2 linked regions of the Oreochromis niloticus genome follow. The protein of the gene in region 1 purifies or fractionates together with the protein of each later gene. This does not show direct contact. Links are inferred from orthologs where the notes say so. Each region holds a gene or a part of one and is shown in the gene's direction. Other genes may lie near its edges.

The links. Proteins that work in one complex are often made in the same cells at the same time.
Region 2: the proteins of hscb (region 1) and sdhaf1 purify together in Homo sapiens (co-immunoprecipitation; 3 studies listed by BioGRID and IntAct, with this or other methods). This does not show direct contact. The link is inferred for Oreochromis niloticus from reciprocal best matches to the Homo sapiens genes HSCB and SDHAF1.

Annotation. Positions count from the first base shown.
Region 1 is NC_031977.2:29,299,051-29,306,337, forward strand, and holds the start of hscb (iron-sulfur cluster co-chaperone protein HscB), read left to right. Parts: upstream 1-4,284; 5' UTR 4,285-4,423; coding exon 4,424-4,791; intron 4,792-4,886; coding exon 4,887-4,983; intron 4,984-7,287. Other genes in the region: lrrc8ab (volume-regulated anion channel subunit LRRC8A), read right to left, coding at 1-288.
Region 2 is NC_031977.2:38,181,008-38,189,015, reverse strand, and holds the start of sdhaf1 (succinate dehydrogenase assembly factor 1, mitochondrial), read left to right. Parts: upstream 1-5,007; 5' UTR 5,008-5,148; exon of another isoform or gene 5,149-5,191; intron 5,192-5,262; 5' UTR 5,263-5,421; intron 5,422-6,860; 5' UTR 6,861-7,030; coding exon 7,031-7,279; 3' UTR 7,280-8,008. Other genes in the region: 8-oxo-dGDP phosphatase NUDT18, read right to left, coding at 4,325-4,435, 4,521-4,691.

The DNA of each region.
Region 1 (7,287 bases):
GACAGCATCAACATAATTGTACTGGTGGCGGTCCAAATCATACTGGATCCCTTTGGGCACTGATGATGTGATGCTTGAATTGAAGTTCTTCTTGCAGGTTTCATTGACCACCCATTTGCAGGGCAAGCAGATCATCTTGTCCTGGGTGACCTGCAGTGTTCCCCCAAAAACAGAAATCATGAGCATGACAATAGAGATATAGTCGGTGAAGACATCCCACCAAGGTTTCAGGATGCGGTATGCTGGCTGTGTGTCCACAAAGTACCGCAGCTCGGTGATGGGGATCATGGTTTATCTGTGGGAACGTAGAGAATGTAGACAGTGATGTATTGAATTAAAGACCCCTGTCAAACATCAGAACAATACAGAAATGTCTGTTTACAAATTAAACACTCCTTCCCTGTAGTGCTTAAGCAACCTTTGCCTAAACGACGACAAAAAACCTAGCAGAAAAATCAATACTATAATTCTAACTAACAAGGGCACACATCAGAACGCTGACCATGGTTAATTTGAAGGCTGTCAGGAGTAATGAATAGCGATTGTGACAAAGACTTTGGTGTTTAACTTTACTTGGTGGACTACCATGTTATTGATTTACCTATTGTTAAGCAGGCTCAATTAATCTTGCTTTCAAAGGACTGTCATACCAGACAAGTCATTTCAAATGTTAGGGCCAAATGGCAATCAATAAAATATAAATTAAATTTATCTGCATCTTAAGTTACTCCTACAAGATTAAGGTGAAGTATTAATGGGCTGCCTATGTTAAGAAAAAAAAATACAGGCAAAGAAACAGCTGCCTTCAATATGTATGCAAGGTGTAAACGTGATAAATGACTAAGTTAGGCAGGCAGTAATTTCACACTTGTTAATCGTGAGAGGTTGTATTATTACTGTTCGTCAGCAGTAATAATACATAAATTCCACTTCTCTATTCTGATGCCAATTATAACACAAAATCTGAGTACCAAAACTAAAACAGGCACAACAGCAGCCACCTCAAGGCAATTTACATTGTAAGATAAAGACCCTACAATAATACAGTGATCAGACAACATGAGATTCATCCATCTGTTTAACATGGGGTTTTCGGCCTCTACAAGTAATGTAGCCAATTAATGAAGCAGGGTTTTCAATGCATATTAAAAGATTTTGGCACTCAAGTTCAGAAACATTTTAATTTAATTGTATGTGGAATGTAATTTACGAAGCATGAGTAAGTCACAAAATGACTTATTTTAGGGGAAAACAGTATTGCTAAAGGAAAACACACTGAATACAAGTTGCCCACTCACTCATGCTTTTTACATTAGATAAAAAGTGCTGTATGGATGTGCATGTGCTTGAGTGAATGAGACTTGTTGAAAGAAAGCATTCTGAGTGTTCAAATTGAGTAGAAAAGCACCATATAAGTTCCAGTTCATTTATCATTTAAGTGTGTAACCAACCTCAAAATGTGAATTTTGAACAGTTACCCACAGATTTAAATTGTTCTTATGGTGGGGTGGCCATGAATACGTTCACTGAACAAAGCACATACACATGTTAATGTAATAACCATTGCTAAATAATTAAACAGAAACTCGACTTTCATTACTCATTCGTTTTTACATCACAACTGTGGTGATATAACAGATAGTGGAGTTGCTCATAATCCAGCATGTGAGACAATTTCAAATTGGATGGAAGATACACGCAGACAGCCTTACTAAGCTGCTGTGGATACAGTCACCAAAATTAAAAATGAATTCACTTTGTTACATATTTACTCGCTGAAGAAAGGAATTCCTTACACTGCTCATTATATAACTTTTGCATTATTAACAAGGTGGTATGACATAATGTACACTGTCACATTACCATGAGTTAACAACATAAACCTTATGCTACAGTCCCACAAAATGCCACAAACCCATACTCTAACAAGGGCACACTCAAGATGTTTCTTTTAGTATGTAGGTATTAACACAAAGGTGACAGTAAAGATAATTAAGCCAGCCCAAATAGGATCCAAAGAGAAAAATGCTGTAGCCAAAGCAATGCTACTTTGGAGGCTATAGCGTTATAAGCCCGACTGCTAATTACTCCTTTAACATCGTTAAAGGAGTAACTTGCGAGCATCTGAAAATGCCAAAACAGGTAATCCAACACTTTTTATTAAATCCTTTGAATTATCATTTAACATCGTTCTGATTTCTTTGCTATTAGCTTTGTATTGGTTGTACTAATACTAATACCAATATTTGGTGATTCAAAAAAATCCGATCCAATTCCAATATACTGTCTGATATAATTTTTCCTTCAGAAAGAAGAAACATGAATAGATTAGTCAAACTCCAATAAAAAGTAATATCTCCTCAAAAATTTTAGATCACACAAAGTGAAGTCAGCTGATTAACACAAAATCAATTCATCATCCAAATATAACTGACAAACTTATGAAACACAAGTAATGACATACCAGACATGATTACTCAAACATGTATGTCTGAGTAAATACATACATGTATGTATTCATTTATTTATTCATTTGCAATTTGTACAAAAATGCATTGCAGGAAAATTTTGTCCCAATACTAGGATATATCACCTTCCTTATGATGAATGTTTGAGTAAACAGACACAAAAACATACAGAGACTCTTTCCTTTAGTAGGTAGGTAATGCATTGTCTGGGGGATATTGCTGGACAAGCCAAAACTATTATTTTTAAATTGAAAAAAAAGTCACATAATACATAGCTTATGTAAAATGATAGGTTAACAATGTCCTATTAGGTATGAAAATTTGTTTTACTTACAAATTCCAATTGTAAAGCACAAGTCCTCCATACATAAACAGCCAAGAGCAATCCACAACTAATCTCCCTTACCTCTGCTGTACATCAGAGCCAGATAAAGCCCTCTAAATTGCCACACCCAGCATGAAAGCTCGAGAAGTCACTCTTCTTAAGAAGATGTTCCGTTTTGGCTTGTTTAACCCAAACAACGTGACCGCCAGAGGAGCCACCTTGCTCCCCTGCTCTCTATTCTTAGCGGTTTCCGTTAATAATACCCAGAGTATTGTCTGTGGGGGCCTTGAGAAGTACCTCCCTCGACCTTCAGGAAGAGATCCTGTTTACCTTATAGAAGCTGCTGTCTCCAACAAGTGTCTCTCTGGAATACTCTACAGTCAGCTTTTGCACCCTCCCAAAAACACACACACACACACACACACACACACACACACACACACACACACCAAGAATGAAGACCTGGCATTCATCACAGAGCTTGTACTTTGGTAGGAAACTGTAATGACAAATAGTCGAGACGCCTAGTCTGATTCTTGGCCAAATAAGCATATTTACACTGGCCAGTGTTCAGAGAATTTTTTTTCTTCACACAGCTAGCAGCTGTTGTATTGCGACCGCCTGTATGGATGGACGATGAAGCAGCAACAAGTACTCTTGGACGATGAAGCAGCAACAAGTACTCTTAGTCAATAAAATACTCACAAGTTTGGAGGTGTTATCTGTGCTCCAGTGCCTGATGATGTCCTTGGCGGACTAGCCACTCACTGAGTATCCAGAACTCTTCATGAAGCATTGCCTCTTTTGTCAGAATGCAGTTGAATCTGAAAGAAAAAAACAAAACAACCCAATTGGTATGAAAATGCAGTTTTCTAGACTTTCTGAAAAAGGCAATTAAAGTTACGCAAGCGTGCATTAAGTGATGTTTTAAGCTGATGCTTCTTAAATGGGTGATTATTTAAAATAATAATAAAAATAAGCTAGTTTGAATTTGTTTTTGTCACCGCTCAACCATAACATGGGATGCCTTTGTCATCCAGCTAGCTGAGCAAGCTACTCAACATAAAGTTAAACCCGGGTGCTTTTTTTCTTCACATGTGCCCTTAAATAACATGAAACGCTGTTTTTAAGGCCGTGAACTGGAATCTGACAACAACCAGCTTATTTGTCAGTACCGACCACGAATAAAGGCTTTTTGTTGTTAAGACATGTTCGCAAACTAAGCTATACTGTTCAGCTAGTGAGCTAAGCTAGCTACATGCAGACCAGGGGTTCTTGTTATCGTTACATCCTCGGCAAAAGCCGCACCTAAAACGACACTAGTACACTACTAACAAACACTGAACATTTTGTGAGGTGTTCAGCTTACTTCAATTGGTGTGCTGCGTCCAAAACTAAGGCTACTTTATCAATAGTTCCTCACAAATTGCGTTTGCTGTTGCCAGCTAGCTGTTGGTTTTCCATCAAGAACTCGAAACCCACCGAGCGGCGGCAGTGTGACAGTGTTACAAAACGTAGAAGAAGAACGCTCTTCTTCGTTTGTTTTTCCGGAAAGAGATGTGTTTTGACAGTGAACATTTTGTGTATTTATTGAGTGCACGACAGCGAGTAGTGCATTTTAATTCCAGAAATGTTGTCTGTCAACTCTTTGAGGATTGTTGGCTCATCCCGGGCTGTACTGCACCCAAGCTGGCTAACCACCAACCGATTGCTTGTTTCTAAAGCTGTTACATGTACAGCTTACAGTATGTCTACCAGCCTCCACAGGAGGGGCACATGGCACAGCAACATGAACTTCAGAGCACTCAGAAAGGAGAGAGAGCTGTTTTACTTCACTAATCAATCCGCTTCACCCAGGAATTGCTGCACAAGTCAAATTAAATTGAACTGCTGGAACTGTAAGCATCTTCTTGACAAAAGACCTGCATTTTTCTGCGTGTCATGCAAAGCAGTGCAGCCCCCTGTAGAAGGGACATCCTACTTCAAGATCATGGATTGGTGAGTTTCTTGTTTACCTTAACATATGTCACCATCTTAAAAAGCTTTCCAAATGAATCCAGTCTATTCATTTTATCATGTGTTACCTTTTTCAGTGACTACACATTCACACTGGACACACAAAAGCTGCAGAAAACATACTTGCAGCTCCAGCGGTCTCTTCATCCAGACAACTTCAGCCAGAAATCTATGGTAGGGAGGGGGAATGTAAGGGGAATAGAGATCTGCTGAGTGAGATGGTCTATGAGTCAGAGAACACTTTCCTTTCTATTAGTTGCCCTGTGACACAGGAAATTGGGTCTGACCCCTTGTCCCCATTTGTCCACTTGTGTGTGCATTTTTGTTTTGTCATGATAATTCATTGTGACTTGGCCATGGGAGTAACTCTGGGCAAAGTAAGAAAGATGGGCTTGTTAAAAGACACTGACAAATGTAGGGCCTGGTTAGGGAACTTGGTTTGTGTTAAGCTACCAAGCAAGCTCAAGGCATAGGAAGCAAGTTTAAGGAATTGAAACTAAATAGCAGTGTAGATGAACAAGCATTTGCTTCTCAGGGAAAAATACAAAAGGGGTATAAAAAGGGGGCCGGGGGGGGGTAGTGTATAAATGGACAGTCTAGTAATATAAACAGCTTTACATGTTGAATTGCATCAGTGTATGTGAAGAGATTCATGGCTGCTTATTTCAGCTATGAAAACCAGGAGGCAACTCCAGTAAGCCAACATGAGTTTATGTTATTTATGTTGATAATTACACTTGTGCCTTTCCTGCTGTGAAATGTAAAAGTGCCTACTAGGACCTGCTTTCCAAAACATTTTACATTATAACTGCAAAATCTAAAATAATAAAAACAGAGGTATATTAAATATATTAAATATTTATACAGGTTAAGAAAGCAAAAGTTAACTTTGGTTTAGAAGTTTTCATTCAATTACTCATCTTGCCTTATGCATGGACACTTTCTAACTCCCACCAGGATAAAAGGTTTGATCACAAGCTGCTAAATTGTGACTTAGGAGTTTATTTGGATAGATTAGGAAAAGTAAGTAGCTGAGATTGTTCCCCTGAAAATAATAAAGTGAAAAAAGGGGGTAAGATCTTGTGACTATTAAGATGTTTTATATGCTGAGTATTTTCTTAATTAGTCAAATAAATTTGGACGGTTTGGCTTAATAAGATCACTGAAACAATTATTTAATTGTGAAAACAGTCCTGATTGTGTTTGTGTATATTGACCCATTATATGGGGCGATCGTGGCTCAAGAGTTGGGAGTTCGCCTTGTAATCAGAAGGTTGCCGGTTCGACCCCCGGCTTGGACAGTCTCGGTCGTTGTGTCTTTGGGCAAGACACTTCACCCGTTGCCTACTGGTGGTGGTCAGAGGGCCCGGTGGCGCCAGTGTCCGGCAGCCTTGCCTCTGTCAGTGCGCCCCAGGGTGGCTGTGGCTACGATGTAGCTTGCCATCACCAGTGTGTGAATGGGTGGATGACTGGATGTGTAAAGTGCCTTGGGGTCCTTAGGGACTAGTAAAGCGCTATACATTTACCATATAAACTCTAATTACACTAAGGAAGTTCCATCGGTATTCAGTCAATGTCAGTCTTTTTAATTTGGCCTCTGTGCACCACCAAGGTAGATTTTAGATGTTTAAAACTGTTAAAATGACACCTTTCAACTTTCAACTTTGATTCAATGGGTTTAATACAAAGTATTGCATTACCTGCTTTGGCATTTTCAGATGCTCATAAGTAATTGGACAGTTGATTGACAATCACAGTCATGGTGAGGGTGAGGTTGATTCCTTGTGTATTTTATGAAACTTTAAGTAGATATAATATCTGACATTCATTCAAAGTTTTGAACTAATATCTAGTAGATTTTCACTGGAGTTCTTAATATGATGTCAGATTGCTGCAAGTAAATAGGGTCACCATAATACTCAAAAAAGAAAATGAAAAATTAGAAAAGCACTGGCCAGCTGAACAACACCAAAAGCCTTGATGGACCATGGAAGGCAACTATAGTAGATGGTAGATCTCTTTACTTGGTAAGAAAACCGCTTTTGTTATATCTAGCAATATCATTGTCAAAGTCTACAATCAAGAGATGCCCTCATGAATGGGTTTACAACAAGATGCAAAACACTGGTTACACTCAAGAACAAGGAAGTCATAATAGGAAGAGAAATGGCTCGTCATCTGCCAAACATGGTAGACGCAGTGTTACTGGAAGGAACATAATATGCCCCACAAGTGTTTACTGATCAAGCATCTAACAGATAACAGATAAACATAGTGCAAATGCAACCCAAGAACTTCTCAAGGCAAAAGAATGGGAGATTCTTCAATGGCCAAGTGAGTCACCTGATCTCAACATAGAAGAGCATGCTTTTCATTAAATGAAGATAAAATGGAAGGGAGAGACGTACAAACAAGCAGGAAGTGAGTAGTTAAGACTAGCAGAGGGTCTCAATGGGAGAAACAGCATTTGGTGATGTC
Region 2 (8,008 bases), about 8.9 Mb from region 1:
TACTTTTCACCTCTCACTGCAAACCTGCTGCCGCACACTGTGATCCAACCCCAGCAAGCAACGGCTGAAATATGGCTGACTTGGACACTGTGTTACAGGAAATAAAAGACTTTCGCCAAGAAAACAGTGCAAAACTGGGGAGATGAAGGAAGAAATCCTAAAGGTGAGCGCCAGACTGGACGAGGCTGAGGGGAGGATCGAGAGCACCGAGGTTGCCATGATTGAAAAAATAAAGCTACAGGTGAAGGTGGAGGACAAACTGACAGACCTACAGAGCCTTTATGCTGTACCCGCGACAGCAGAGCGGGCTCTACAACAATGAGTGAGTTTGTTGAGAAGTTGCCGCGGGAAGGCCTGGGCTGTCCCAAGATAAACTTGACGTACGCATCGAACGGGCGCACCACCCCCAGGCGACGCTCCCCTGCGATCTATTATTGTGAAATTCCTCAGCTTCAAAACAAAGGAACTGCTGCTTCGTAAGGCATGGCAGAACAGAGGATTTACCTCCAACCACGTGAGTTTGGACCATGACTAACCCCCCGATTCTAAAAAAACCAAGAGAATACGCCAACGCGTGCAAGACTCTGAAAGAGCAGCAGATCCCCTCCAGCTTAGCTAAGGTGAAATATACCGATAAACAAAGATTTACAACACAGCGGTGGAAGCCATTAAGGACATGTCCAGTAGAGGCTACGCTGTGAAGATCGTTAAATCATCAGAAACAGCTTGTTTACAGAACCATCAGTGGATCAGGCAGAGACAGTAAGAACGGCAGGAGGGGACCAGAGAGTAGCACTGTTCACCGACGACCTACTACATCCTGTCCCACACAGGCACTCCCCAAAATCATGGAAATGCTCTCAGAGTTTCTCAGGATACAAGGTTAATGTAAACAAAACGCAGGTACTAACTCTAAACTACGATCCACCAATCGAAATTAAGAATCGCTGGAAATGGAAATTAGGTACGTAGGGGTGGTAATACATCGTGATGTCACCAAAATGTTTGATGCCAACTATGGTCCTGTGAATGAATCCATAAAATCTGATATAATGGAATACCATCCCTAATTGGACCTACACTCTAGGATTGAATCCATTAGATTAAACATGCTGCATTTGTTTCAGTCGTTACAGATTCCCACACCACAAAAAGGCCATTGATATGTCTCTGTTGTTTAGATTACACTGTGGGATGGAAAGATCTGGAAGGAACAAATGTTAAAGTAATACCAGCTACAGCTTTAATATCAGACACAAAGCTACAGAACAAAACAAACCTGCCAGATGAACCCATCCTACAAGTAATGATATCTGCTTGGAGTGAAGCAATAAGAATTTGTGGTTTGAAAATGCCTCTAAAGTCTTTAGATGGAGCATATATGACTCAGACTTTACCCTGAATCAGTGCGATAAGAGCTTCAGGAACTGGATTCCAAAAGGCCTAACTAATTATTATCATCTGTCCACAAGGGGGCGTTTCAAAGCTTTGAAACCTTAAGGAGAAAATATGATTTAAGCTCAGACGATTTCTTCAGATATCTACAGGTCAGAAATTATTTTAATCAAGACCTGAAAGTGAATATAAACAATCTACGATTTGTAGTAACATTTGTATCATTAACTAATTCTGGAGCACACAATAAAATCATTTCCAGATTATACAACAGCATCCTGTGTAAAAACAAAAGCACTGTTTGTTAAAGTGAAGTGGGGGAAAAAAGCTAACCTGACCATTTCAGAGGAGTGCTGGGACCACATATGCATACAGTGGACTACCACTGTTGTTTGGCGTGAATTTTGCTGGAAAAGCATCATGAGATTCTTCATCCCCCTGCTCAGAAAAGGTATCTGGGAACTGGTGACACTTGTTGGAGATGTGGAGGAGATGGTGCTAACCATTTCCATAATTCCTGGGACTGCCGGATGTGAGTAAACAGGCCCTCACGAGGAGATGGTTCAAGCCTGACTGAAGACTGGATATATTCTGTAGAAGACATCTATACCATGGAAAAACTGTCTTTCTCTCTCAAAGTGCAGACGGATACCTTCTACAGAATATGTTTGAGCCTGTGAGGTGGGATTTTCTATCAAGCCTGCCACTTTTATGCTCGTGCACTGATTGAAATACCCATGCTAATAACGCGAAGCTAACTTGGCTACCCCACTACCCCCAACCCAAGTTCTTACGGGGGGGGTTTTCAACTATAAGTTTACAAATCTGAAAGCAAAAGCAATGTAGAGAGTCATACTACTGTTATGTTCAATGTACTTTCTTACAGTTTTTTCTGAATGCTTAAACCCTAACTGTGATTCTTATAGCACAATTTCTAAAACTATTAATACTTATGGCAAAACCACTCACTGAGTTTGCAAAACTAAAAGCACAAACACTGCTTTGCACTCAGTTTGCCATTTTGTAACACACACTTTGCAAACCTGTAGCTACAATCCACTGCACAGCACTCTTTTTGCAGAACTGTAAACACACAACTCACGGCTTTACACTCAATTTCCAAATGATCAACACACTCCTAGCAAAACTTTACACATTTATAGCCATTATTTACACTATTTTGCCAACTGTCTGGCACACTGTCACATGTGAAAACTTTTTTAGATCATTAGATCACTTTGCAATCAGCCTAAGCACTTTAAATAAGCTACAGGTAAGCTCTGTGTGTGTGGAGTACAATGGAGGGAGCAGGAAGAGTGAGAATTAGAGGAGGCCAACGGGTTCAGCCTAACTCGAGCCGCTACACTGTAGCAAGCATCATAAGGACATTTTGAAATGAGAGTCGGTTAGTACAGTCACTTTGCACTAAGATCTGTAGCACTGCCATGCTAATGAGAAACACAACAATACCATAGATGTAAAAATACTGAAATTGTTACTTTACAGAATTGCTAGACGACCAGATGCTGGGAGCAGAGGAAGCATGTTCACTGCAGACCAAGAAACCCATATAGTCAATATGGTGATTGGAAATAATCCTATACTTGGAAATAAACACTTGTGTTTGTTTTGATGTGTGTGAATAAACAGCAGTACTTGAAGTTTGGATCCCTCTATGCTTACGGATCTATGACAAAAGTATGAGCTCAATCTGACATAGCCTACCTTGTGCACAGAGAAAGCAAAAGCCAGATGTGTTTTCATTCATACCATCAGTGTGTAGTTGGTGCATTGTGTGCTTATTAATATGATGGCTTGTGTTAACTGTTGGATACGAAAATACCATTTTTACAAAGGTGTGGAGAGTTAAGCAAAGGTTATTCGCTTTTACAAGGAAACTACAATGTTTTGCTGATTGGGTGAAGAGTTTTCTTATTTGTGTGTAGAGTTTTGCAAAAATAGCCAATAGTTACAAAAAATGTGCTTAAGCCATCAGAAAAAACTGTAATAAAAGAGTTTTTTTTTAAAAAAGAAAAAACTGAAACACCAAAACCTGCAGTTCCTCTAACGTCCACCTGGGGCTCCACCAGCGAGTTATTCCCATAGACTCCAATGTTAAAAAGGTTCAAAACAAGCAAAGCCTCTGATTATGATTTTTCAGACATTTTATTGATATACAAAAAACAAACATGTTCACACAGGTGACATAACACTGATGTTAAAGCCAGATCACTCCTCCTCCTCGCCCCCTGATCTCTGTAAAGCAGTGTTGTTCTGTCAGGGCAAGCAAGGAAGGCGGTGCTTACCCAATGAAAAAACAAACTGTTATTTCAGTATTTTGACTTTTTCAACCTTAAGTGACCGTATTTGGCATATCTTGGTTAGAAAGTTGGCAAGCTGCATTCACAGAGCTTATGCAAACATCACACAAACACATATCTGCTAATCAGTGCTCAGTAATATCTGAACTGTAGCTCCGCCTCCTTGGATGCTCTGTTTTAACAGTGACCTCACAGCAGGCATATTATTGGTCACATGATGTCATTAAAAAGCTCCAAAAGGGTCCAACAGCACAAACAGGGTCCAGGGGTCCAGTTCAGGGACTCCCATTAGTTAAGGTGAAGCCTAGCAGACAGCTAGCTGCTACAGCCACCTGTACCACCATCTACCTGTCAGTCAAAGAGGCCACGCCTCTAATAATGCAAACTTTAAGCCTGAATACAATTTGAACAGGTGAGTAATAGAAACGCTCTTCCGTGTACAGCTGTTATGAAGGAGTATATGATCCACAGAGACCAAACTGTTTGTGTATCAGGCTGTAAACAGGTTTGTTTTAACATGGGAGTCTATGGGGCCTGACTCGCTGCTCCCCCTGCTGGACGCTGGAGGAGCTGCAGCTTCTTACTCTTACAGGCTCCTCCTCACTCACCTCCCTCTTCATCGCCTCCTCCAGGCTCTCCCCCACCTCCACCCTCCCAGCAGGAAGATACCACTGTTTGTAACAGTCCGGTTTGGCCTCCTGGACCATCAGCACCTCCTCCTGAAGGAGTGTTAATTAATTAAATAAGCAATCATTTAAGGGTATTGATGAGACGGAGTGGCTACCTGTGGTGACCTCTGTTCACCTTCTCATTGAAGATGACAGCACAGACGATGTAGGTGACGTTCTTCCTCAGGGTGGCGGGTTTGCTCTGCTCCAGGCCCACATCACACACAGTGACCTCTGACCCCTGCCCACTTAAAAGCCTCTCCACCTGCTCCTCCACCTGCTGCTGTTCCTCAGCTGTCATCTCCATGTCTGTAAGAGGAAGAACAGAGAGCGTCTTCATCAGCTAAAAAAAACACCGCAGAGCTCGAGGCTGTGATTGCAAGCGCGCGGAGGCTCACCTGTGATCCAGGTGTGGTGTTTCTGGTGTCTACCAGGTGTGACAGACGCTGGGAGAGCTTCCTCTCTTACTGTCGGATCTGAATCCTGAAAACTGTAGTTCACTAAAAGTACTTCGTTACTTTCTCCGCAGGTACCGGCGTCATAAATCGCCGAAGCCTTCCCCCCGGAAACAGATGCCGGTGATAAAAGCACGAGCCCCCCTCCTTCAGCTCGCCTGTCTTGACATTTGACTCCAGAAGGTGACACCGGAAGTGCTACTAATCTTCCTGTTCCGCGCCGCCGCAGTAAGAGCTTTTAACCCACTCGAACAGCCCCCCCCCCACGGGCGCTTTGGACGGTCCAGATTCAGATAAACACATCAGAAGGTAACTGAGCTCTAACCAATCAGGAGCAGCGTTCTTAAAACGGGTATGAGCTTTAATTTGTCTGTGTGCGTGCTTTATTGTGAAAATCTGACCCGGAAATCACGTGTTTTGTAGTTTGTCCTGGTCGTTGCGGCTGAGGCCGGTGTTATAACGCAGTAAGGTCACAGAGGAGCTGCTCACAGAGAGCCGGGAGACGTACCTGTGACGGTGGAATAGGACAAACAGGTGAAGCAGCGGAGCCGGTCCGAACCGGTCTGAGCGGAACTCCGTCAGGTAAACAGGAAGTTGAACTGATCGCTCTCACTGATCAATCCTCTGAGGTCCAGCAGCCGCTGGTGTTGTGCCAAAGACTGATTTCCAATGTTTCCGTGTATTTTTTATGTGTAATATCTTTACGTATGTTGGTAAATAGACTTCGGTGAACAGCGTTTACAAAGGGGTTTTATATAGAATTAAAATATTATCTGTTTTTCAAGTATCTTTACAACTCTGTGTTATTGTACTTACATTATAACCAATCCGCTCCTTTATCCCCACTTAAAATATTTTTACAGAACTATTGTAATATTTGCTGCCATCTCTGCTGTCCTGTTGGCCAACTTACTCTTACAAAAGACATTTTTAATGTTAATGAGATTCTTTTTAACTGCATAAATAAAGGTTATATAAAAGTCACTGGCAAAAACTGACTGCAGCTTCTACCTTGGTACACAAATGTTGTTTGTGGCTCCAGATGACTTTATGTCATCCATGAGGGATGCATTTGACATATGTTTCACATATTATAGCCCAACAAGTTACTTATAGCAGTTTAAATACGAGCAATCAGTTTTTGGCAAATACCGGCTGTGGGTTACTTTCATAAGCCATAGCTACTGGTAATACTGCGTGTAGTACTATAATATAAGTAATGCTAATACTACTGTATGTGTTACTGTAAAAACTGTTACTCAGGAGGGTCAAAGGATGGGCATCCAATCAGAATCCAAAGATCACTTATTCATGTTATTTTAGCTGAAATGTGTTTTAGCGAGAGACAGACACACCTAAACTCTGTTGTTGTTATAACGTGTGCCAGGTGAGTTCAATTATCACAGAAACCAATCAGGGATGAGAAAATCAGGAGAGGCAGTCAGGTAAAAAAAAAAAAGTACGGAGGAAGAGTCTTTACTGAAATAAAAACGTGCTTTTACGTGCAGGTCGACACCTGTGTGAACAGTCTGGGCTCACGTGCACGTTCATGCTTGTGCAGGAATATGAAACACACATAAGTACAGCTGTGTTTGTGTTGTTAGATCTGTGCCTTTGTTAAAGATCAGAAACAGCGAGAGCCAAAAACGTGTTCCTTCATCAGAACTCCAGTGAATGCATTCTGAATAAAAACAAGCAGGTAAAAGGAGAAGATTTGTTATATTCAGTCTGGCTCAGGGGAAACTGTGCTGCTGTTGACCGAAGTCCGAGGAGGAGAGGAGGAAGGCATGTTAGGAGGCTGAGAGAGAGAACATGAGATAAAGAAGGATTATTTTGAACTTTGATTGATGCAAAGCTGTTCTTGCAGGATTCAAATGTGGAGCTGCAGGTGAGCAGATGCCTTCTGTCGTGTCTTCAAGGTGTCAGTTTCTCCTGTGGGAGAATAAAACTAGCGACCGTGACGTGATGAATCTGCCTGAATGCTGTTTTGTTGTTCGGTTCTCTTTGTGTTCTTCCTGCAGGCAAACATCTTCTTTAAGACCCTGAATGAGAAGAAACGGGTGAAGCTGAGCCTCGTGGTGTGTTCAGAGTGGACGTGTGAGGGAGTGCAGCCGGAGACACGCCGGTGTTGGAGCGTCATGTGTGCGTAGCTGCCCTCTGATTGGACTCTTGTCTCTGCTGACTCGGTCTGATGTTGCGGCACAGTAAGCTGCAGAAGCAGGTCCTCGCTCTGTACCGGCAGTTCCTGCGAGCCGGGCGGGACAAACCGGGCTTCGTCCCCCGAATCCGCGACGAGTTCAGAGAGAACTCCCGCATCAAGAAGACGGACGTGATGCACATCGAGTATCTGTACCGACGGGGCCAGCGGCAGCTGGAGCAGCTGAGGGACGTCAACACCAAACAGCTGGGCTCCTTCTCCAAACCCAAAGAGTGCGGCTGAAACCGTGTGACCTCTGAATCGCACTGCCGTACCTCTGAAAGACGCCGGCGCCATCAAACTGCTGCCATCGTGCTCAGGAGACGGGCTATGAAGGCCGCAGCAGCGATAGAAGCTGCAGTGAAACAAATGTTGACAGTAATGAATTTTATCTGATGTCTGTAACAATAAAACGTGTCTGTGATGAAGACGAACTCATATTCTTCATATTCATGTTTAAGAAACTCAAAACCATCAGAGTTAATCTGTTAATGTGTTGATGACGGTCAGGCTTCATGTCTCCCTCTGAAATATCATTCATATTGTTCTTCATGCGTCTGCACTGCATTCTGGGTAGATGAAGAGTCATGTGACTATTTTTTTTTTTCAGGAATTAAAAAGAAAATTAAAAAGTTTGTTTCCAGGGGAACTGAAACGAGGGAAATCAGGTGTTTTAGTTTTTACACAGAAAATTGTTTAAAGGAGCTTAAATGGAGTCAGAGCAGGAGTGGGTTTAAAAAATCAGTCGATTTTAGTTTGAAGAAAGTGATTTCGATGCATTAAATCCTGAATCGATTTTTAAATGTAAATGTATTTTGCTAGAAACGCTAAAATCTCAGGTTAAATCTCACAAAACTATTTCAACAACCAGCAAACAGCCAAAACGGTAAACGAGAGCCGAAACATGTAAACAGAGAGCGTGGATCATTCACCTGACGTCACGGACGCGCCGTCAGGGCTGAAGAACGAAAG